Linked DNA regions of Lonchura striata. The protein of the gene in region 2 purifies or fractionates together with the protein of the main gene of each other region. This does not show direct contact. Links are inferred from orthologs where the notes say so. Each region holds a gene or a part of one and is shown on either strand. Other genes may lie near its edges. The genes, in order: PDE6D and INPP5E.

Evidence for each region.
Region 1: the proteins of INPP5E (region 2) and PDE6D purify together in Homo sapiens (affinity purification with mass spectrometry; 3 studies listed by BioGRID and IntAct, with this or other methods). This does not show direct contact. The link is inferred for Lonchura striata from reciprocal best matches to the Homo sapiens genes INPP5E and PDE6D.

Annotation. Positions count from the first base shown.
Region 1 is NC_134612.1:18,212,703-18,224,517, forward strand, and holds the start of PDE6D (retinal rod rhodopsin-sensitive cGMP 3',5'-cyclic phosphodiesterase subunit delta), read right to left. Parts: upstream 5,636-11,815; 5' UTR 5,543-5,635; coding exon 5,493-5,542; intron 1-5,492. UniProt on the Homo sapiens protein: Promotes the release of prenylated target proteins from cellular membranes. Modulates the activity of prenylated or palmitoylated Ras family members by regulating their subcellular location.
Region 2 is NC_134624.1:8,888,658-8,899,701, reverse strand, and holds the start of INPP5E (phosphatidylinositol polyphosphate 5-phosphatase type IV), read right to left. Parts: upstream 5,595-11,044; 5' UTR 5,512-5,594; intron 4,893-5,511; 5' UTR 4,696-4,892; coding exon 3,854-4,695; intron 2,371-3,853; coding exon 2,247-2,370; intron 2,058-2,246; coding exon 1,960-2,057; intron 1,423-1,959; coding exon 1,298-1,422; intron 1,179-1,297; coding exon 1,059-1,178; intron 688-1,058; coding exon 580-687; intron 1-579. Other genes in the region: protein transport protein Sec16A, read right to left, coding at 7,722-7,790, 8,206-8,280, 9,174-9,233, 9,859-9,933, 10,310-10,410, 10,487-10,624, 10,926-11,037. UniProt on the Homo sapiens protein: Phosphatidylinositol (PtdIns) phosphatase that specifically hydrolyzes the 5-phosphate of phosphatidylinositol-3,4,5-trisphosphate (PtdIns(3,4,5)P3), phosphatidylinositol 4,5-bisphosphate (PtdIns(4,5)P2) and phosphatidylinositol 3,5-bisphosphate (PtdIns(3,5)P2).

The DNA.
Region 1 (11,815 bases), on a different chromosome or scaffold from region 2:
TAAAAAGACTGAAACCATAATTCCAGTAAAATGCTGGATGGGTAGGCTTTGAAGAGATCAAAGGATAAATCTTAGATATAAATTTGTAACTACAAAGTGCTAAAGTAATATTGCAGATTAAAAAGAAAAACCCGAACTCCAATGTCAACCTCTACTTTTAAGTTGATGCCAGATGTAGTCTCTGTAGCACCTGGCAACTCCTTTGTATCCTGTGATGCCCCTTCCACTGTCATGGGCACAATCCCCATTTCCAGCACTACATAGGGATTGCATTAAATCTGATAAGTAGACAATTGACTGTAGCTCAGATATCAAGTTAATGCAAATCACAGGTTAAGCACAGTTAAATATTTACACTTTTTTTCAATTAAAGTTAACAAGGGGAGGATATGAAGTTTTTGATGTTCACTCAGGAATCAGGCAGGTAAAATCAAACCTGGTAAAATTGTTCTTGCTTTATTTGCAGATGTGCCTCATGACTCAGTCATAAGAAATATGATGACTCTGTGTTTAGCATGCCAGAAGTAGAGATCATTGCATAGTGCAGAACTTCTGTCAGTGCTAGGAATAATTCTGATGTGGTAAAGGTACCTTGACTATCATGACATTGAACTACCAACTACAACCTGCCTAAAGCTTCTGTGTGAAACTCTGGTCTCTGAAACAAAGATCTCTCAATGCTTCTGGGGTGGGAATTTGTTCCAGTCAGACTAACTGGGAATGTGGACAACTCTTGCTTGTAAAGTATTTTAAGTTCTGCAGAAAGTTAAGAGGGTTCAAAAAACCAGAAATATGGATGAGGGACAAGGAACTCATGTTTTCCAGGGTGTTTTAAAATTGCATTAGAGCAAGCTACGTGCACGTTCTGCTTTGGGTCTCTAAAGAGTACATGTCCCAGCTTCTGGGAAGTCCTGTTCCATCTTTTGGCTAGCCAGTGTCTCCTTTTAACCCATTAAATTGATGGCTTTCTATTCCATAGCAAGGAGTCTAACAGAGTGAGATCTAAGGAAGTGGACAGAGGAAACCTCAAAACAAAGGGGAATCTTTAAGCCAGTTAAAGCTGCTACCTTGTTAGTTTTGTAAACACTGCAGCAGGTCAACATTTCAAATTAATAAGCTGCCAAACACCTACCAGCCTAACAATGAAATCGGAAACTTATTTCAATGTTGCTTCCAATTAGATTGCTCAACTTTGGAATGCTGCATCAAACTAGCTCAAAATTCCAGTGACTGTTCCAGGAATGATGGACAAGACTGTCATTGACTTCAGTGTGTACAGCACAGCAGGCTGAAGTTGGAAGTGGAAGTTTCCCTGTCTGCAGAGTATATAATAGATACTCCTAATGATTCTGGTATAACTGTATTTTCAATACATCTCTACCCACCTTTCAAAGAGAATAATTCTCTGCTAGAAAGACTTCCCAGGCAGAAAAGCAATAGTGAAAATAAAGCTGAAAAAAGCTCTGGGAGCTGGGAAGATGTTGCACAAGGAACTTTGAGGACTGTAGGAAAGTAGGCCAACCTTTGACGTAAGAAGTTTTACCTGCAAGTGTTGGAGTGCTTGAGCTGCAGGTGTATATTTACACTGACCACAAACGCAAGTTTCGTAACTCTGTAATTGTTCTGGAGTTAATACTGTCAGTTAATATTGTCTCTTCTTGCTTATGTTCACTGTATTACCTTGTTTCAGGAAACTTCTGAAGAATGGGCTACTACACAGCCTTAAAATTAAGTTAATGGAAAAATGTATCCTAAACTGATAAACAGCTACAGGTCAATTAAAACTACAGAGATTTTGATAAGACTTCTCTGTACAGAAGCAAATAAAAGGTGATATCTTGCTTGACTTGTAAGATTTAAAATAGAAAGCATATGTCCTTACACTGTGTTGAGTAGCAATACATGGAACTTTAACCATCCTATGAGAATCAACCAACTCATTTGGGTTTTCTCTTCCTTGCTGTTCTGACTGAAACCTCACAGAAAGAACTGCTTAAAGAAGTTAGACTGTGGTCCCTCAAAAGTTGGACGTGAATCTGCTGTTGCAAACCATGACTGGATATTTCTAATCTACAGCATGGATGCTTTCCAAATGCTGCCAAAACAAACTAAACAGGGTAACTATCTATAGAGTCCTTATTCTAGCACATTTTGGAAAAATAATTCTGTGCTAGTTCATCTCAGAACAAAGGTCAAGAGGCAACCCACCCATTGTTAAGGGAGTTGTTGAGGGGGAGCCATCAAAATAAAACACTCCTGAACTTTAACTGTTGGGGAAGTACATCACTTTCTTTTGATAAATCATGCTAAATAAATGCATGTAATAGTACACACTGAAGATAAAATGACAGAACAAGATCTGAAGAATGTGTGGAAAGGGTAAGTAAGGGTCAAGTAAAATGCCCTTCTGTAGCTTGACAGAATAACTCTCCCATCTTCCAGAGGGGAAAAAAAAAGGCATAATCTAATTTAATGCATTTGAGATCACAGGACCAGATGTGCATAAATACTTGCAAAAATAAGACTTGGCTAATGCTTCACACAAATGAATCTTCAGTTACCAACTGGATTGATGTTGTTTGTAGCCAAACAAGTGCATTTTCATAGCTACCTGTAGTTATTACATTGGGTGTAACAACTGCTGTTCAGACAAGTGCCTTCAGAACAGTTTGTTGATAAACACACAAGCTCTATTAGCAAATATTGTCCCTGAACAAGTGACAAGCTCTCTTAGTTGTCTGCTTTCAAAATTTTTCTGCACCGTATTTATTGGACTGTTAGTAATATTAACTGGTGCCACAAAAATTCTTAGCATAAGTGTAGTAATATATAATATTCTAATTTTCCTGCAAGCATCAAATATATTTCCAGAGGTTTTAATATTTTTAAAATAACAAAATCCATGAGAAGAAGGAATAAATGTTCCTGGCTTGGATTTTGGGACATTAGTCACTACATGTTTCTGCACTAGTGTCATAGAGGAAGGAAAACCTATCTTTGCATTGAAATTAGAGGGTGGATTTAGGCTATAATTTAATTTCCACATACCCCAATCATCCAGCGTGCCCCAATGAGTTGGAAAGCTTGTAATTAACCCCTTCTCAGGAACCACAAGGAAACAGAATTGTTTGAGGAAACTCTGATTACTCAATGTGAACTGGACTTCCAGCTTAAGTGTCTGCTGTCATGTTAAAATTAGGGATTATTTTGGAAGCCTGCTTCCTCAGTGATGCTTTTGGCCCTAGCAACTCTTCTTCTCTCCCAAGGAATCCCTCACACACTGCCCCTGGGTGCAATGCCATGCTCCTCTCTTGTGCCAAAAGCAAGTTTCAGTTTGAAGTGCCAAAGTTGCTTGAGTTGGTGAAGCTGAACTCCTTCCCATGTGGGAGCAGAGGACAAAGTTTTCAGATACTCAAAGTATAAACTGAACAGTTTTTCAGAACACGTTTCTCTCTTCCTTTCTATTAATTAAATGAGTACATGCAGCAATAGGGTGGCTGGAAGATAAAGCATCTCTAAACTGCAATTATCTCTGGAACAGATGCCTGCCCTTGGACAAGGGAAGGGAAGTCTGAGCTGATGTCTCCCTTGCAGGGAGCATGGCCACAGCTGGGCATGAGCAGTTTCCTGTGGGGATGGTGTGGTGTCTCAAGGCTTCCCCACAAATGAGGAATGTCTGCTCAGCCTCTCTTCTGGCTTACTAAAGGCAACATAGATGTTTCTCAACTATTTCAACTTGCTAAAAGTTTCAGTTATGAAATGTTTCTCCAAACTTTCCTGTTTGTCAGACTTTGCACTACACAGCCCCTGTGGCAGCTCCCCAGATTTTAACTTAAACTGTCCTGCCAGAAGTATTTTTTTTTTTGCAAGGACAAACAAAGGAAGACTAGACTTGAGATGCTTCAACACAGACTGCAGAGTGCTTCTAATAAAACTTCTTATCCATGCTATGGCTGCTTGAGATCATAATTTGTTGTCTGACATCCTTCCTCTCAAAGAGCAAAATGCATTTTCTCTTTAAGACGGCAAACAACAAAAAGTATTATTTCATTCAGAGTTGGGCAAAGGCCTTTATGTAAATTCTGCTATCCAATAAATACTATGTACAAACACATGCAAAAAGCACTTAAAAGTTTTCTCCCTAGGCTTAACTTCCAAAGCACTCCTCACTTCTACCAACAGCTTAGTCTGGTCTTGTGAGAAGTTTATTCTTCTGATTGCCAGCAGAAAAGATTTTTAGTTTATTTTTTGACAGCTAAAATTCCACATCTTCATAAATACAAAGAACTGTCAATAGTGCCAGTGCAGAAGCAAAGGAACCAGATGAAGTACTAACAGCTGGAGGAGACTGCAATGATAAAAAGTTAAGAAAAGCATCGGCTTATAGTTTAATAAAAGCTATCTGTCTAAATCTAACCTAAAAAATCACATCCTGCTACAGCTGGCATAGAGATTATGAACATCTCACAGAACAAAAAACCCCACCACCCTGTTTAGAAATAACAGGCTTCGATCAAGAGGATATTTCCTTCACTTCTGTCCTTTTTATTGTAAAAAAAAAGAACCAACTTATAACAATATTCTGATGTCTAAAGATCAAGATAGCAATCTTGCATTTGCCTTCTAAGCTGAGAAGAATTTACTTCAGTAAAATATTCCACATGTAAAATAAAGCTACAATATTTCTCACACCTTTAGTTTGAACATGGGCCTTTAGGTCAAGCCTTTCTCTGCTTTGCTGAAATCCTGGGTTGGAAGGTGCACAAAGGCACTTGCCTCTGTTCCAAGCTCAGCTCTATCTCATTTCATCAGCTTTAAATTCACATCCAGGTACCACAGGCATAAAATCAGAACGCTTTTTGAAAGCCACAACATGAAAAGTTTTTAAACGAGCTGCACAGAAAGGCATTTACACGCAGAATACGTCAGCAATAAAAGACACCGCACGACCAACACATGTGCCAGTACCTCACGGCATGACAAGGAACGAGGTGCTTGGGTGCTCCTGCACCTGATGACCAGGTATCTCCCTTCCGAGCAGAGGTGCTGAAGGGCAGGCCGGAGGGAAAGGGGTCAGATCCAGGCGCAGAGCTACTTCACCTGCCCTCCGTAAGCTGTCCTCGCTGCGGGCGGGGGGCTCCGGCTGCCCGGGGCCGCCGCCGCCGCCCAGCCCCTCTCGGCGCCGGGCAGGGGCCGAGGGGCGGCGGTCGCCCACCGGCTCAGGACTTTGGGCGCGGGGACCCCTCACCCGCGGCACCGCAGGCAGGGACGGGACCCCGGCATCGCGAGGCCTCCTTCCCCGCCCCCCCGGCCCGGCCGGCCCAGGGCCGGTCCCAGCCCCGAGGGACCCTCCCGTCACCGCCGGAGCGCGGACGCCATTGAGAACCGCGTTGCCATGGCAACCTCCCTCCCGCCCCAGGGGCCTCGCCACAGCGGGGCGGCGATCCCCGCGCCCCCCGCGGCGCCTCGCGGCCCCCGCGCACGGAGGATACAGCTTGAAGCCGCGGAGGATCTCCTTGGCCCGCTCGTCCGTGGCCGACATGGTCCTGCCGCGCCGCGGGCGGGCGGACGGGGCTGGGCCGGGCCTGGCGGGAGCGCGGCGGTGACAGCGGAGCCTCGGGACCCCCCGCCCCTCCCTCCCGCGCACCCGCCACTGCCCGGCGCAACCAACCCCAGCGGCCGCCCGCCGCCGTGCCGACCAATCAGCTGCTGCCGTCCCCTCTTAGCCCCGCCTTCTGGCGCAGGAATGACAGCGCTCCTGACCAATCAGGCGGCGCTCTTCTATTCAAGGGTGGGTGCGCGGCGGTCGCGGGGCCGCTGTGGTTGGGCCTGACGTGGCCGCGGTGGCGGCGCCGCAGGGTGACCGGGCAGGGCTGCGGGCGGTCCCCGCGCCCGGGAGGCCTCAGCGGGAGCAGTCGAGGGGGCCAGAAGCCTCCCCGGGCCCAGCCAGCGGCGGCCGAACGGCCCCGAGCCGCCGGAGCTTGGCTGGCGCTTCTCCCCAGGCAGCGGCTCCCCGAGGTTTCGTCTTTGGGGCTGCTCGGCGGAGCTCCACCCGGAGCAGCTTCTGCTGGAGACCTTCAAAACCCACCTGCACGAGTTCTGTGTCATCTGCTCCAAGTGACCCTGCCTTGGCAGGGAGTTGGACTGGATGGTCGCCAGAGGTCCTTCCCAAACCCAACAGCTCTGTGATTCTGCGTGTCCCGAGGCCGGAGCCAACGGGACCAGCATTGTGGAGAAGGTTTAAGATAAAGAGTGCTACCCCCTGGAACAAAGGCAGCCTTCTTTGTGCTGCAGAAATTTGAATCACAGATCAGCTTGAGTTGAAAGGGACTTTAAAGACCATCCAGGCTGGCCTTGAACACATCCAGGGATGGGGCATCCACAGTTTTGCCAGGCAACCTGTGTCAGTGCCTCAGCACCCTCACAGGAAATAATTTCATCCTTACATCTAATCTAAATCTGCCTTCTGTCATTTTGAAGCCATTCCTCTTGTTCTATCCCTAGAATTGTATTGCCTTGTAAAAAGTCCCTCTCCAGCTTTCTTGTAGGACCCCTTCAGGTACAGAAAGTCCTGAATAATGTCACCCTGGAACCTTCTCCAGGCTGAATAACGCAAATTCTTCCAGCCTTTCCTCGGAGAAGAGGTGCTTTAGCCTTCTAATCGTCTTCATGGCTTTTATGTTTGTGTAGCAGAGTTGATTGTGGGGGGAAAAGTCTCAGTATTGTTAGCACATCCCAGAAGCCAGGCTGCTCTTTTACATGAGCTAATTAATTAACCCCTCTCTTAACAATCTGAGTGCAACTGATAAAAGCATTAAGTCGTGGTAAAAATAAAGCCAGCAGTTGTAACCCAGTCCTCAGATGAGGAGCAGTGAACAGTCAGGGTGCCATCAATACACTCACGCATGGCTCTGCTTGCCTCCAAATCGCCCGCTGTACAAAAGTGGAGACTGATTGTTAATAAAGGCTGCATTTAATGCATAAGGGCAAGGCCACTGTCAGTACAACTGACAAAATATCTTAAAAATAGGCAGCATTTATTTTCCTGATGTATATGAGCCATGCTCAATTTCCCACCATCAGTTTAAGTGTATGAAGGGGTCATTCTGAGTGTGGGCAGAATGCCAGGAGTGAGCTGTGCAGATATATATTTTATTAAGAGTCCATCCTGGATTTTAGCTAGGCTGTGGAATTGCATGCTGTCTAAAGAAGAGAAAAGACTGATAAGGAGAAAAGGCAAGCAAGACAAAAGCAGACCTGGAAAAGGCAGAAACAAATGGTTGCATGTAGGAAATGAGCCTGCTAGGTGGAAGTTGGACATTCTGGTTCAGACAAGTCGTAAGAAACTCAATCCTGTCTCCATTCAGGCTCCTCAGAGATTAAGGAGCCAGAGACCAAATAAATCTCATAGAAGGGAACTCTTGCAGCTTTGAAGGGCTTCTCTAGCACAGGGGTAGAGATGTTTGTGGAGTTTCAAGTTGGAGCCTTTGCATTTCCTGGCCAAGTCTCAGAATTCACAAAGTCCTCTTGCTGTGCAGGGAGGCACAAGCCTCTCATTCATGAATTTCTGAAAATCACAGAAGAGCTCATAGCTGAAATGTGAAGCTCTTGTGCAGGGCCAGGCAGCAGTGGAACACGTGACAGCACAACTCAGAGTGACAAAAACCCTGGGATCTCTCAAAGGCCTTGGGCTGCATTAACACAAACAGCACTCTTGAGCACATCTTCTTAAAAATCTCCTTGCAAGAAAGTTGCTGCAAATCCCTCTATCCTTTGGTGACACTTGGAACTGAAAGCTTTTCCTTCACTTCACTGGCAGGTGTGGCAGCTTCTGAGCTACCACTGCAGGCAAGAAGATGCCTCCAGCCTGTTTTCTGCTTCTCCAGGTGCAGGTGAAGGAGCTGGTGTTTCTGCAGAGCAGCATAACTGGGGGATAGTTTAGTAAACCAGGGCTTCATCCCACCCCACACTTGATGGAAGAGGTTGTACAACTACCCAGACATCACTCCTTGCCTGGCTGAGATGAGAGTCCAGCAAGCAGCTTACTCCCTGGATCCTGGGAAATACAGAGAGTTTGGAAACTTTTCAGTAGGGCCTGGGAGCTCGTCTCCATCATGCTCTGGAGGTGTGTGCTGGCAGCTGCAGGGAATGAGGATAAATGCATGGAAGCACACACAGGTGAGTAATGAAATATAAGGAAAAAAATAAGAAACACAAAAGTGTTTTCACTGTTGGCCCTCTCCTTGGTGACGTCAGGTGTCCTCAAAGTCTGGGGGTCCAGGACCCCACTGCTTGGGGACATTACTGTGGCAATGCAGGGAAATAAGGTGAATTATGTGCTGCCTTAAAGGGACCTGGACTGCAGAGTCACAAGGGGAAGAGGTGGGGTGAGCCAAGAGATAATGCCAACATTAAAAGATAAAATGGATTAACATATCCTGGCACACAGAGAGCTGCGTGGGTGGAGCAAGAGGTTGCAATAGCTGTTTAAAAGGGAATGAGACAGCTGGACATACACATATTTTTTTCCTCTTAAAAACAAAAATCCATCCCAAAAGCTGAGCTTAGCTGACTCTGTCCTCCAAAGTCCAGGTCAGCCAGCCAGGCTGGCTGTCAACAGTTGGGAGGTATCAGGACAGAGACTCCTGGCTGACCTACATGGGGCTAACAGATGATTTTTAGCCACAGGCTCTAGCAAAAGGTTGCAGAATCCATGGAAAATAGCTCACAATAATATATTTCCATTTCTATTTCAGCCTGGAATTCGAGCTTTAGCAAGTGTTGGGAAAAAGGAGGCCACACACTGCTTGTCCAAGGCAACTGTTCCAGCATGTCTGCAGGATGACAGGAACTGTGGGGAAGGGCCTGGTTAGGATGTGATTAAAGAGGTAATTCTCCCTCCCTGTGCAGATGAGGGCTAAGTGTGGCTTAAGTAAATTACTGACTGGCTTGTTATAGCCCTGGCTGAGTTCCCTTGTTGTGCAGGGTCTGGTTTTTTACATCCAATTTGCTGTGAAGCCCAGAGTGTCACAACAGCATTCCAACACCTGCATCTCTGCACTTGTCTGACACTCCTTCTCTGATGCATGATGGGACCCCAGGGCCCTGGCTCTGAGACACAGGCTAAGCCCCATCAGTTTCCCTAATAGTTTCTGATGTTCATTCCTTGAAAGCTCCCCCCTTCCTGGTCCATGATTTGATCTTCAGAGACTTGCTGACTGAAAGCCAGAAGCACTTTGCTCTCAGCTGAAGGATTTTTAACAGAGGCACATTTAGTTCACAACATGGCATGGATGAGCCTACAAACTTTGGGGAGGTTAACAATCCCCAATTCCCTCTTGTTTCTACCCTCATTCTGATACCCCTTCAAGCATCTTTTGGCTCCTGATCTATGCCCTGGGGAGGATCTTAACCCTTCCAGTTCCCTCCCTGCTCCCCTATGTCACAGCCAGAGCTCTGCCCTTTGATTTATCATTTGTATGGACCATTTTTCTATGGAGTTCAAAATCAGTTCTATCTTCACTCCATCTCTTGCTATTTCCCAGGAGGACTGGCCTGAGAGGCTCAGCTGGTAGAATCACCAAATATCCTGAATGGGAAGGGACTCATAGGGATCATTGAGCCTAATTCCTGTCCTTGCACAGCACAGTCCCAAGAATCCCACCCTGTGCCTGAGAGTGTTGTTCAAACACTCCTTGAGCTCTGCCAGGTTTGGAGCTGTGATCACTTCCCTGGGGAGTCGGTGCAAATGCTCCGTGCAACCATTCAATCTAATAATGGCCCCACTTCTAATAACGAAGTGGCCTTACAACAGCAGCCCTTTGCACGGGTTATTTTGGGGTGCAAACCGCCGTGATGCTGCCACAGGATTTCATATCCCCTAAAAGAGGCAGGAATTTTACTTGCTTATACTGGACAGCTGCTGGGAGCCAGCAGAGCAGCTGGCGCAGCATAAAGAAGTGAAGTTTGCTCCGTGGGCTGCCGGACCATGGCTCTGTCGGTGCCAGCACGCCCAGCCCGCCGTCCCCATGCCGGTATTCCCGGGATGCGGCATTCCCGGATTCGCGGTTCCCGCTCGGTGCGGCCGCCGGGGTCGGGCGGAACGTTCGGCGTGGCCCGCGCGTTCCGGGGGGGAAGGAGCCGCGCGCGGACACCGGTGCCGCCATCATGGCGGCGTGAGGCGCGGCGGGCTCAGCGGCGGGACGGGAGGCCGGCAGCGGAGAGGTAACGCCGGGACTGGGAGAAGCCTCCCGGGAACGGGGGCGGCGGTGAGGGACTCACAGGAAATTCCCCCCTGCGGCAGGGCTCGGTGGGGCCCCAGGCTCTGCCAGGGGTCTGGGGGGAACGGCAGGGCCGGGAAACCCCCGCCTTCCTGCTGCAGGGTCTGCGGGCCGCTCCCCGCCCTGAAACTCCTTGAGCTACCTTCGAAAGGCTTGACCGCAAGAGAAGCCCGGCTTGTCCCCCTGCTTGGGTTGTTGTAGCCTTTGGACAAGCTACGTTGGAGTGTGTGCTTTATTTCAGTCGCTTCTCACCACGATAAGTCGGTTGTGGAAGCAGCGAGGTATTCCCTGTGACACGGGTGTGCACACACCTTGCGATAGCACCGCAGTTGTCCGAACATTTACTTGGAAAGGGGCAGAGAATTGCATCTCTTCCCAGCAGGGCATGGATTCAGCCAGCCAGTCTTTTGTAACCTCATACATGGTTTGATTACCTGTGAGGGAGGACAATAGAACTGTGAAATCTGAATCTCATTCCTAGCACAGTCAATCCATATTCTCTCGTGAGGAAATTGCCCTCTCTGCGAGCAGAGGGAGCACACTGATGTGTTAGGCAGGCACACTGAGTGTTCTGTGGTGCAGGGGTTTCGGGATCAGAGCTGAGGTGCTGTTCAGCAGCTGTGCTGTGCCTCTGGTGGAAGGAACCCCAGAGAGACTTCGGGGGCTGAGATATCTCAGTGTGGAGAGTGTTAAAGGTTGCCCTCTAAAGCTGAGACCATTTGTACCTGCAGGTGTAATAGAACAAAGTAAAGTGTATTTTTAGAAGTTGATTAATACATGAAGCTGTGATGCCTTCACAAGCCTTAATTTGGTTAGGCCTGGTGAAACAGCAAAACCCCTGTATGACTGTGCTGCCCCCACAAGGGTGGATGTGGGCCCAGCCCATGTGGGTCACACAGAACCAGACAGGCTCTCTGGTGTTTGGTTTTCATCAAGGTTATACTCTCTGCTTGCTAATCATCCCTTACAAACATAAACAAAACCTCCCTTATCTGCTAAGTTCTTTATTTGGTTTCTGAATAACATGCTTGAGAAGTTTTGTCTTATTTGTTTGTAAACAAACAGCTCATTCTCTGGAACTTGTTAATAAATAGTGGTTTACATTTCAAAAGCAACATGTTGGTGCTGGGAGACAACATGCACACCAGAAATGTCAGGCAGCAGCTGAAGACAAAGACCTCTCTTCACACGGACTTAAATAGAGCCTTTGTAGAAAGGGTATTTTTATCACTTAAGCTTCCCAGTTAACCCCAAACACTTGAACTGCACAGTGCAGACAGGGGAGCTGCTTACAGGCCCCAGTTCTTTTTACCTTTTGGGCTCAGTGGGAATTATGGGAACACAATCTATCAATAGCCAGAGTCAAAGGAAAAGGTGGGATGTGTGGGCATACAGAGTGCATCAGTCCTTCACAGGGAATTATGTTGGTTGCTGGTTTGGAGCTGTGCAATGAGGAAGGAGAAAGTCAATCAAGTGTATCAATAAGCATCTTTACAGTTGGTATTATTTGGCAGCATCACTAGAAGGAAAAGTCT
Region 2 (11,044 bases):
AGAGACCAAACTATCTATAGGACCTAACACCAGAGGGAACACAAAAAGCTAATGTTACCCTGCAGATAAAGAGTATATTCAATTTCCTAGTAGAAGGACCTAATTATCTATCTAGGTATCAAGCTGTCAGCACAGTATTAGGAAACCATAATGGACTTTGGCAAACAATGCTCTGACCTGTGTACACGCAAAGTGACATAAGCTTTATTCTGTTAAATTTGAAATAATATCATTCCAATATATAATAACAATATATAATTGTTCTAGAAAACACCAAGAAAGTAAAACACATCTGTAATATTAAGAATAATTAAACCATAATTATCATATTGCTAAAAAATACATAATGTAAAAATTCCCTTTTGAATTTTCTCTCTTCCATTTCAATTTTTTTCTCAAATTCCCAATTTCAAGAGAAAAAAACATAAATCATGGGAGTAATAACCATTCTCAGACAAAAAGACCTGTGGTTTCTTTTTACACAGTCTCAAATTATCACTCTTCTTGTCTGTTTCCCAGTGCAGAGATAATGCACACTCTGCTGACCCGGGCTCCCCATGCTCATGGTTTCCCACTTACTAGAGCTGGATCGATATGGATTTGTGTCCGGAACATTCTTGGGAAGTGTAAGGGCTTGAATGGTTTTATTGTAGTCCAGTTTCCTCTCATTCACTTTACTGTCCCCAGCTGCAAGACAGAAACCCCATTACTACCACCAGTGAATCATTTTCATTCAACAATCATTTTTTGTTATACCAGGAGCTTCCAAAGGGTATCAGACATTTTCCACATATCAAATGTGACACTCTGGGAGTGTCTGCACTGAATAATGATGGCAGAAAGTGTGGGAAGAGGGACACAATGGTGCAGAGTTCATTTCTGTTTCCATTAACACAGTTCTTTTGTAAGTTTGTTACCAAATAAACTTCCTCCCTTATCTTTGTCAGCTCAGCAATCCTGAGCTTTGGCTTCAGCCTGTCCTGCTTTTTCACCTCTGTACAGCTCCCTCCCCTCCTCCCTCAACCAGGACACTCGTAGCAAGATTGCAAATGTCTCACATGTGAAGTGGGAGGTGATGAAGAGAAAGGAGGTCCCAAAAAACGTGAAGCTGATTCCCAGAGCTCCCTTGGTTTTGATCTGAGACACGATTCGAGTTGTCACCGTGGCATACTCCACTTCTGGAAGGAAGAAAAGAAGATGCTGTTACTGAAATGCTTCTGACAGTGAGCAGGGAGGTTAGGAGAGGGAGAAAAGGCAGGGCAGAGGCTGGCAGCAGTGCCTTCAGCTCCCCACGCACCCGAGCAGAACCAGATGAGATCCCTGCGGATGAACACGGACATGTAGAGCACGCCGTGAGCAGCCGAGTGCAGCAGGACGTAGTGGGGGCCCAGCGTCTCCTGCAGGCGGATCTCCCACTCCCTTCTGCAGGAGAGAACAACAGCTGGATCACACAGACAGCACGGGAGAGCACGTCAGCCTTGTGCACACGCAGCAATCCCTCTCACACACAACATCAAGGCATAAACAGAACCTCCCTGCACTGAACTAAGGGGTGGCCGCTGAGGTGCCACAGAAATCAGCAGAGCTTTGCCATCAGGATGAAATTCTGTATGTACACAGAAGCTGTTCTATCCCTGAGAGTGTCCAAGGCCATGCTGGACAGGGCTTGGAGGACCCTAGTCTAGTGCAAAGTGTCCCTTCCCATGGCAGAGGGTGACACTGGATGGGCTTTAATGTCCTTTCTAACCCAAACCATTCTGGGATTTTATGATTTACAGATCTCTGTCACTTTTTCCTCTAAATCCCATTTCCTCTGGTGCTCATGCAATAGAATTCAGTCTTGTTAAATGGGTTGATTATTGAAAATATTAGAAATACAATGACTATTTCTAGTCTGTTTCAAAGCAAAATTATTAGTTAACAATAAAAGAAGATGGTTCATTACATTGTTTTTGCTACCTGTCTGGACAGCCTTCTTGAACCCCAATGACATACATGTCCTGGGCAAAGTCTGGATCTGTTGGCAATAAGAAGTCATCCAGATTCACTGGAAGTTCCTATTACACATGAAATTTAAAATAAAAAGAAAGAAAAGCAGTATTAGTTATGCAAATATTTACTAGAAAAATACCTTTTAATTTGACAAAGATGACTGACAAGGAACATAGTCTTGAACAGAAAAACATTCCCCCAGTCCTCTCAGCAGAGCTGGGGTAACTTTACTGCCAGCTTTACTGTGCACCTACCTTCTGCCCCTGCATGTTCCAGGTGGCCACAAAGATTCCCATATTCCGATTAGGGAAATATCTGCTGAGTTCTTCTGCTCCCATTAAGGCACCACTTGCCAGAAGGCTGCCTTCCAAATAGCTCCTGTGGACAGAAGACCCAAAGAAGACCATTTAAGGAAAGGGCAGGGCAGCTGGGATATTGATGTGTAATGTTTAAATCTTTAAGTAATCAAGAATATACCTTTAAGAAGAAGGAATTTAACATTTATAAATTGTTCTGCTTGCCTGAAGCTCCTTCCAAAGCCAAGACACAAGGGTGATGGTGAGGCTGATGATGCTCAAGTTCTGTGATGAGAAGACTGAAGCAATCCAAAGTCTTCAGCCCCACTAAATTCATCCAGATACAGAACAAAGAAATTGGTTTGGTAACTTCAGGGTGCTCACAGGAGCTGTGGGTGCCCCTAGATCCCTGGCAGTGCCCAAGACCAGGCTGGACAGGGTTTAGAGCAGCCTGGGACAGTGGAAGGTGTCCCTGCCATGGCAGGGGTGGCACTGGATGAGCTTTGAGGTCCCTTCCACCCAAACCATTCCGTGATTCTGTGATTCCATTAAATTTGAGTACCTTGAAGCAGCTCAGTTTACTTCAAACATCAAAACAGCTCCACCATTCCCAGTGTTCTGGCATCAGGTTTCTTTAACAAAAAACTCAAACTCACTCATTCTTCCTTTAATTCAGCTGATCAAATCAACTTCAAGAAAATAATTTATTGAGCCTGAGGTCTCAAAATATCCCCTTTGGGAAGGACAGATGCATCCCACAGCACCCACAGGAGTTGAGGGACGCTGGCACAGGGACTGCATGTTGAATAAACATTTTTAATCTTGCTTAAGATCTGCAAATAATGATGAGAGAATAAAGTCAGGGAGTTCTGGGCAACCCAGCACTGCCCTCCTGGCTCCAGCAGCTTTAGGGAGGAATGGGAAAGAAAACCCTCATGGCAAACAAGTAACAATCTATCTTTGGGGTTTTTTTACCAGCTAGTAACATTTTAATTTATCTCAGAATTGTTTCCCCTCCACTACTGACTCCCACGCTTTGGATCAATGATTAGGATTTTCCCTCCTGCAGAGGAGCTCCTGTGGGATACTGGAGTAGTTCCCAGCACATAATTTGATCCTACCAAAAAGCAAACAAGTGCAACTTCTGCTCAGCACCTCACAGGACTGTGATAATGCTGTATGACAATCTCAATTTAAAATATCTGGTGTTATTTTTTTCTGTAATTTATCATTTCAGTTCAAGCTCAGTGTACTTTTAGATTTTTCTAAAAAAAGTTTTCCCAACTGCTGGTATGCACAGCCACCACTTCTTAATTCTCAAATCAGATTATGTTAATATTACAAGCAAACTGACAGCAAACCAGACTGAGATTTATGAAAATACTTAGCTAAAAGGAGGAAAGGAGAAAATGCAGAGTACTTGTACTGATCTCTTCATCTTCCAACACCCTTCACAGCAGGTTAAAGAACAGAGAATGGCTTTGGAGCTCAGAAGTTCCCTGCCCAGTGGGATTCTTCTCCCTGCTGACACCCCAAAAGCAGGAGAAAAGCTGGGGGAGCCCTACCTGCTGCGGACATCCTTGGCTCGGATGGGAGTGAGCACGCTGAAGGTGGATTTCATGGAGTCTGTGGAGCAATTGTCATAGAGCGTCCCATTGCCCTGCAGCCGGGAGTCGCTGAGGCTGCTGCTCACCCTGCCAAACTTGTGCTGAGAATAATGTCGGTAATCCAGGCAATCTGAGTCGATCCTATTAGCTGTCCTCAGCGAGTGGGAGGCCGCGTTGAGCTCCATGGGAGGCAGGGGGCGGGCCGGCATGATTTGGGACAGGCGGGGTTTGCCCCCCGCGAACCCCTTGCCCCGCAGGAGCCCCCCAAAGGCACTGGAGATCTCGGAGGCTCGTTTGCCCAGGTCCGAGGTGCCTGCCCTGCTCTTCCCCCCGGGACTGGCTTCCAAGGCGTCTGGTGAACTGTGCAAGGAATCCTGCTGGCAGCAGGGATTGCAGGGGCTGGCCCTGCCCCTGGTGGGCGGGCTGGGGGACGCTTCCTGCAGGGAACCATTGGAGGAGCTCGTCTCGTTGGGATCAGTCAGACTTTCCTGGCTCGTCCTAAATCGTCTCCACTTCCTCCAGCTCTTTTCATCCAGGGATGCAGCACGTTCCAGCCGGGGCTTCCGAGGGGGCCTTGGAGTGATCGATTTAATTTTCATGTTAGCTTTGAGTTCTTCTGGCAGAAGCTTTAGGGTCTCACTTATGGGCGTGCCTATTTTCGGAGGTGCCCCATCACCCCCAGCCTCCTTTTTGGCTGCTTTTCCAGCTTTTTTTGCCTGCAGGTCCTGTACTGCTCCACCCTCCATGCTCCGAGTAAGACACAGCCTTGAGTGCTGCGGAAATCCATTTGGAGTGCTCATTGTCCCCCAGGTACCAGCTATGGATGCTGCTCCAGGTGAAAAGTTCCTCAAAGCATACTTTCCTTCCCTTTATCACAGGGCTTTACTCAGCCAGTGAGACATGGGAATTGCAGACAGCTCAGCCTTTAGCTGGGAATGAAGGGCAGGTGAATGTGCAGGCAGATGCATTGTCTGCAAAATTCCAAGACGTGGGGTACCTGGATTCCCCCAAGAAAGATATAAGAAGGAAAAGTTATCGAGCTGCAAACTGTCCTCCTCGATCAGAAAGCATCTCCTTGCAGGACCTCCCTATAGCACAACTCACACCTCAACGTGACCTTGTCAGAAAATCACTGTTCTTTCCTGTTTTTTGCCCCAAAAGCAGAGTACAGACCTCCTGTACGGCTGTGTACACCCTTCTTTCAGGAAAGGCAGCGTGCCCTGCTAGCACGAAAGGGAATTTAAGCTGCACAGAAACCACAGCTCGTTGTCCTTGCTGTACACAGGCGTCACCAGCACCGGCTGCCCGAGGCCAGGAAATTTCCAGCGATCCCAGAGCCGGGAAATCGCTGCCGCTTTTTCCTGCCTTGCACCAACCCCGCTCACAGAAACACCCCAGGGCCGGCTTGAGCTGCGGGAGCGGGCTGCGAGTACATCTCTACACGGGGGGAAGCACCTCGTCGTTCTGCGGCCCTGAGGGGGCAACACGCGGCTCTGAGGCAGCCCCGAGCGCGGGCTCGGCACCGAGGGGCCGCCGCCCTCAGCCCGGCCGGGCGGGCGGGACCCGGCCCTCACCCCCTCACCCTGGCCGCCCCTCCCCGCCGCTGCGGGCCTCACCGGTCCCTCACGGCTCCTCGCCGGTATCCGCGGTCGCTGCCCGTTCCGGTCCCGGCCCGGCCGTGGCAACGGGGGCAGCGCCGGGCCCGCCCCGCCCGCAGCGCCCCCCGGCGGCCGGAGGAGCGCCCGGCAGCGAGCGCGGGGTGAAGGCGGCGTTGAGAAACAGATTAAACGTGTTAATTACACTTGGGGGAATTTAAAAGATGCCTGTATTAAGCCTCAAGCTTCGATTTTGATCAGTACAAACGGCGATGACAGAATGACAGACTGGGGGTGGTAGGGACCCTGAGGATCGCCCAGTTCCCAGCCTTTGCCGTGGATACACATGGACATCTTCCATATGCTCCAAGCCTGACCTTGGATGCTTCCAGCGATGGGACAACCTCTACCACAGCCTCTTCACCCTTAGCGAAAAGGAGTTCTTCCCAATATTGCACCGACACCTGCTCCGATGAAGCTGTTCCAAAAACCAAACGCTTTCCTCACACAGATCGTTCCCAGACAAAAAGGAAAGGCTCCTTCACCCACCTCATTAAAGCAATAACCACAAGAAGAAAGTAAAATGTGAAAGTGCTCCAGAGCGCAAAATATTTTATTTAAGAATTTACAGTGTCAAATCTTACACTTAGGAAAGACAGCCGCTCCCAGCTCAGGGGGAGCCTCCTTGCATGAAGTTGTTTGGCAGTCTCTACTGAAAGGAGAAAATAATCAGCAGCCTGGCTGGACTAGAGGAAAGCCAAGTGTCTGATTAGGTTTCAATTATAGAAAAGTAAACCACACTGACTGCTGCTGTCCACGTCGGGAATTGAGAATGGACCAGCACACAAAAGTTTCTAATCCCCCCCAAAACAGTGTTTTACTTGGGCTGCATACAAACTTTTTGGGACATAGATAAGGCTACACAATCTTAGAAAAGTGGTGTTATTCAGGAAAAGAAAAAACAAAAAAAAAACAAACAAACAAAAAAAAAAAAAAAAAAAAAAAAAAAAACCCAACTAGGGACAAATACTGGCAATTTCACATTCGTATTACTTCTACTCCTGGGCAGAAATTCAAGTAAAATCAAATAGTTTGGTGGCAAGTTCTAAATAAAATATGGCCTAATGATTTAATAAATATTTAAAGTTTATTTCTTTCTTTGCAGATAATTCAGATTCTTCAGTGAATATAAACACTGCATACCACGGTTTTCAAGATTTCCTATATTAAACCTAAAGATTTTGAAGTCCATCTGTAGAGGTCTAATCCATCTACTTTTAGTATGAAATTTAGCTGTTAGCTATTTAAGACCTTGGTTATTTTAGTAAGGAAGATTCAAGAACGGCTTATTACACTGATTCTGGCACTCCCAAAAGGAAAAAATAAGCAACTTTCAAGCTGTTACCCCCCAGCTGCAGAGTGCCAGCAGTTTGAGAGAAAGCAAAGTAACCGTATTGCACTTAAACAAACACTCACTCGTCAAGAGAACAGCGTTGGCTATGATACAGAGCTCCTTCCCACTATACACTTGGCTTTACAGGTAGTCTAAACCACAAACTACATACAGACTAGGAAAGACCCAAATCAAATCAGGATTAGATTACAGTCACAGTTTTCATTCAATATAGGTCGATTTATTTGGATGAGCTGTGGCCCCCTCCTGACTCCCAAAAACCAAACCAGCATGAGGCAGCTCCTGGGTGAGCCCCTCCCAGGGGAACATCTCTGGGTCCACACTCTGTTTGGAATTGTGCATGGTCCTCTTAAGGCCACAGTGTTATTTTACAATGTGGACATGTTTGTTTTGTTGTGTTTTTTTTTTTTTTTTTTTTTTTTTTTACCCCTGCTGGGAGGGGAGCATCCTTCAGAAAATAAGGAATCCCTGAAACTATGTCTCGGAAGGTCACGCTAGTAAGGTTTAAAATAAACTTAAGGAATAAATTGCCTATGCAATTTACAAACAGGTTTTGTAACAGACAGCAACTATTTCCTCTCTTGTGCCTATTCTTTATCACAGCAAAGCTATTTCTAGCCAGGTTTTGAAAAGGAAAAGTTACATACATTTCATGTTTGGTAATGGTTTGCGTAGATGAGGTGCAAGCATGAAAAAGATCACCCATCATTAGATTTCTGTCATGTCACCTGCAGCTGATACCAGGTGCCATAAGGCTGAATAGCTCTTTGCATACTCAGAACATGAGTAAGGATTCCAAATACAAAGCCATTGTATTCTACTTCAGTGTTGGATACTTCCTCTGTCCAATTCTTCCCAGTCTTGAACTTCCAGTGGCTGCAGGAGACTGTAAAAAGAACAGGGATAACAAAATGTTCTGTAGAAGTGTCATGCTGGAGACAAAAATTCAAGAAATCAGCAATAAAGTTTTGAATGGGAACTTGTTAAATTGAACAGGTGCCAGACTGATCTTTGTCCACATTTAACACTCTACATCCAACAGCCCAGATGAAGTTGATAAAGCACAAAATCATGTTTTGTTCAAAGCATGGAATCAGACTGGTTTGGGTCAGAAGGGACTTTAAAGCCCACCACATTCTACCCCCTGCCATAGGCAGGGACAACTTCTGCTGTCCCAGACTGCTCCAAACCCTGTTCAGCCTGGCCTTAGACCCTTCCAGGGATCCAGGGGCAGGCACAGCTTCCCTGGGAAATCTTGAATAATAAGAAAAAGGATAAGGAAAGATGAGCTCTTCACTCACTTGTGCAAATTGAGAGGGGTTGTAGAACGGTACTGCCCCTGCTGAAGGTGCCCCCGAGGGTGGAACAGTGGCAGGCTGGGAAGAGAAAAAACTGAAATTAGACAAAGGCAGAGAGGAACTCCAGTGCCTCTTAAATGTGGTCTGCTATGTTATACAGAGCAAATATTCACAGGAATAATGCCAACAACATGGAGAGTACAGCCTATTGGAAAAACTCCAGAGTGCTGGCATAGTTTGCATCCAGATCTAGAACAGGGCTGGCTTAATGTAGGAATTGGCCAAACAGTGTCACATGCATCAACTGCAAATAGCTCTGCAGATCCAAAGCATGCAAAACCAACACAAGACACCAGTGCAACTCCACTCAATTAGTACCTTCTGCCTTTGTTAGTACACACCTCAAGACTTGCCCCAAAATAAACATTCTATATCAGGTTTTGCTTTATTACAAAATATCAGAAAGGTTTTTGTCACCCCTTTGTGGTGACCCCACAGCTCTGGAACTTCCAGCAGAGATGAAGCATTCCTTTAATTCCTACAGGGACTTTTGCAAATGGTTTATTACCAATTTGAGACTGGCAGCAGCAGAAAGACCAAGTTTTGCTTGTATTGAGTCTTTTTAGGAGGTTGGTTTGGTTTCGTTGGAGGAGGCTTGGTTTTATTTTGTTTAAAATCAACTGATTTCTTTAGTATCCCAGAAATAAGATGATGAAATTATGTGAATCTCTTAGGAACATCAATAAAAAGCATGCCTGGATTACATGCACTCTCATAAAGACACAAAACTGAAGACCCTGTTTGAGTGTAAAAAGGAACACTACATCATGATCTACTTTTAATGATAATTCTGTGAAATGAGGGGGAAATGACTAAAAGTAGCATTAGTATTTGAGCAGATGCAAAATAAAGAGGGGAGGTGGGGGAAAGTAAATAAGTTAACATAAATGAGAATGGCCAGCCACATGTACCTGATTAAAATGCTGGCTTACTTCACGTGATAATGAACTCATTGAACTAGAGCGCGAAAGCTACAAAACAGCAAGAACACACAAATACAAAAAAACACAAATAAAAAAAGTCGTCATGCATGTCACTGCCTCAAGCTTTCAGTTGTTTTATTTCATTGTCAAAGTCTCACTGCCAAAGGTTAAACCAACTTCAAGTTAAAAAAAAAAAAAAAAACAAAAACCAAAAACAAACGTAAAGCCAGAAGTTAGTTTAAATCAAAAGGACTTCTTAAAGCACAAAATTATGTAGGTATAGAAAACATTTAGTAGGAACAAAGGTCATGTTACTCTGCCTGGCACACAGCAACTTGCTCTCCTTGTGTCTTGCACTTAATATTAGTGAAATTATATGCATGCATGGAGGCAAGAAGAGAGCCTGCAACTGCTACTGACATTTTAATCTGAAAAAGGGCTTTTAAATGTACTTATATAGGAAAAGGAGATCACAGAATGTAGGGTTGTGAATGGAGGCTGAACTTCTCATATGGGCTTAGAGGTCTTTTCTGTGTAATTCTGGAGGCAGTCATATCACATGTTGGCTACTTATCAGCAACTGAATCAGTTACTTGTTTTAGATGGTCCATTTTAAGACCACTACAATTAACAGTAAAAAGTCATTAATTAAATACTTTGCATCAAGCCTTACCTCGCCTGACTGGGAGCCATCAGGGTTAGGAACATGAAGTCCAGATCCAGGAGGAAGGGCTGCAGGGTTTAAGTACTGAAGGAAAACAAGGCACTTCTGTTTATCATCATTACTACAAGGCTATTCCACATTTCCCTTAAAGATCCCACTGGGGCAGAACAATGCTACAACACATCAGGCAGGTGTAGTGTGCAGTGCAAGACTCTTCCCATGTTCTCAGTCCCTTTCCTGCACCCATGGAAGCTGCAGCCCTATTCAAATTAGGAAATGCAACCTCCCACTTCCATTTTCACTTGTATTTCTCTTCTGTTCTTTAAGTAAAACGTTAAACCACAAACCCTACAACAACATCATGCTTTAAGGATTGTGGCTGTGAAACTGCTGCTCAGAATCCTGAGGGGGTTTGAATCAGAACTTTGGGTTCTCCTACAAGACATTCCTTGGAACCCACCTCTGGCTCCACAGCTGCAGCAGGGTCTGTGTTGGTTTGGTTTGCAGCTGGTGTGTGCTCTGCTGCTCCACTCCCCTCCACGGGCTGGGATTCCCCTGGAACTACAGAAGAAATAGGAATTACCCAAATACACCCCATAAATAGCCATAAAACCTCCCCACAATCCCATCCACACACCTGAGTTTGGAACAAACACGTTGGCAGGAATGGGCATAGGTGCCAGGGGGGCAAACAGGTCTGATGGTGCAGGAACAGCACCACTTGCCTTGGTTCCTCCTGGATTCAGGACATCCACATAACGGGCTCTGCTCCCAGCTAAACCAGAAACATGCAGAAAAACAGAAAGAACCCTTGTGTTTATCATGCCTGTGTCTACTTTGAACAGTTGGCTGGTTAAAGCATCTGTTAGGATCAGGAAATAACACTCCAGGGATACAAACAGTAATACCCAAGTCATGTCACACTGTACACTGTGATAGCAGTGCAGGAGCTGGGCATGAGCAAAGCCAGCAACACTGAGCTGCCAGCTGTTCCCAAACAACCCAGGGCAAGTCAGAGCTTCTGCCTTCATATTTTATGCAGGAGAAAGTCTTCAAATATCAGTGCTGGCTGATACCTGCTCTCCTGGAGAACACGTTGACAGAGGCACCAGGGGGGCCTCCAGGCCCAGGGGGAGCAGCCTGAGCAGCTTTAGGAAATCCTGTTGGAGGTGGTGGAGGAGGTTTACTCTGCAAG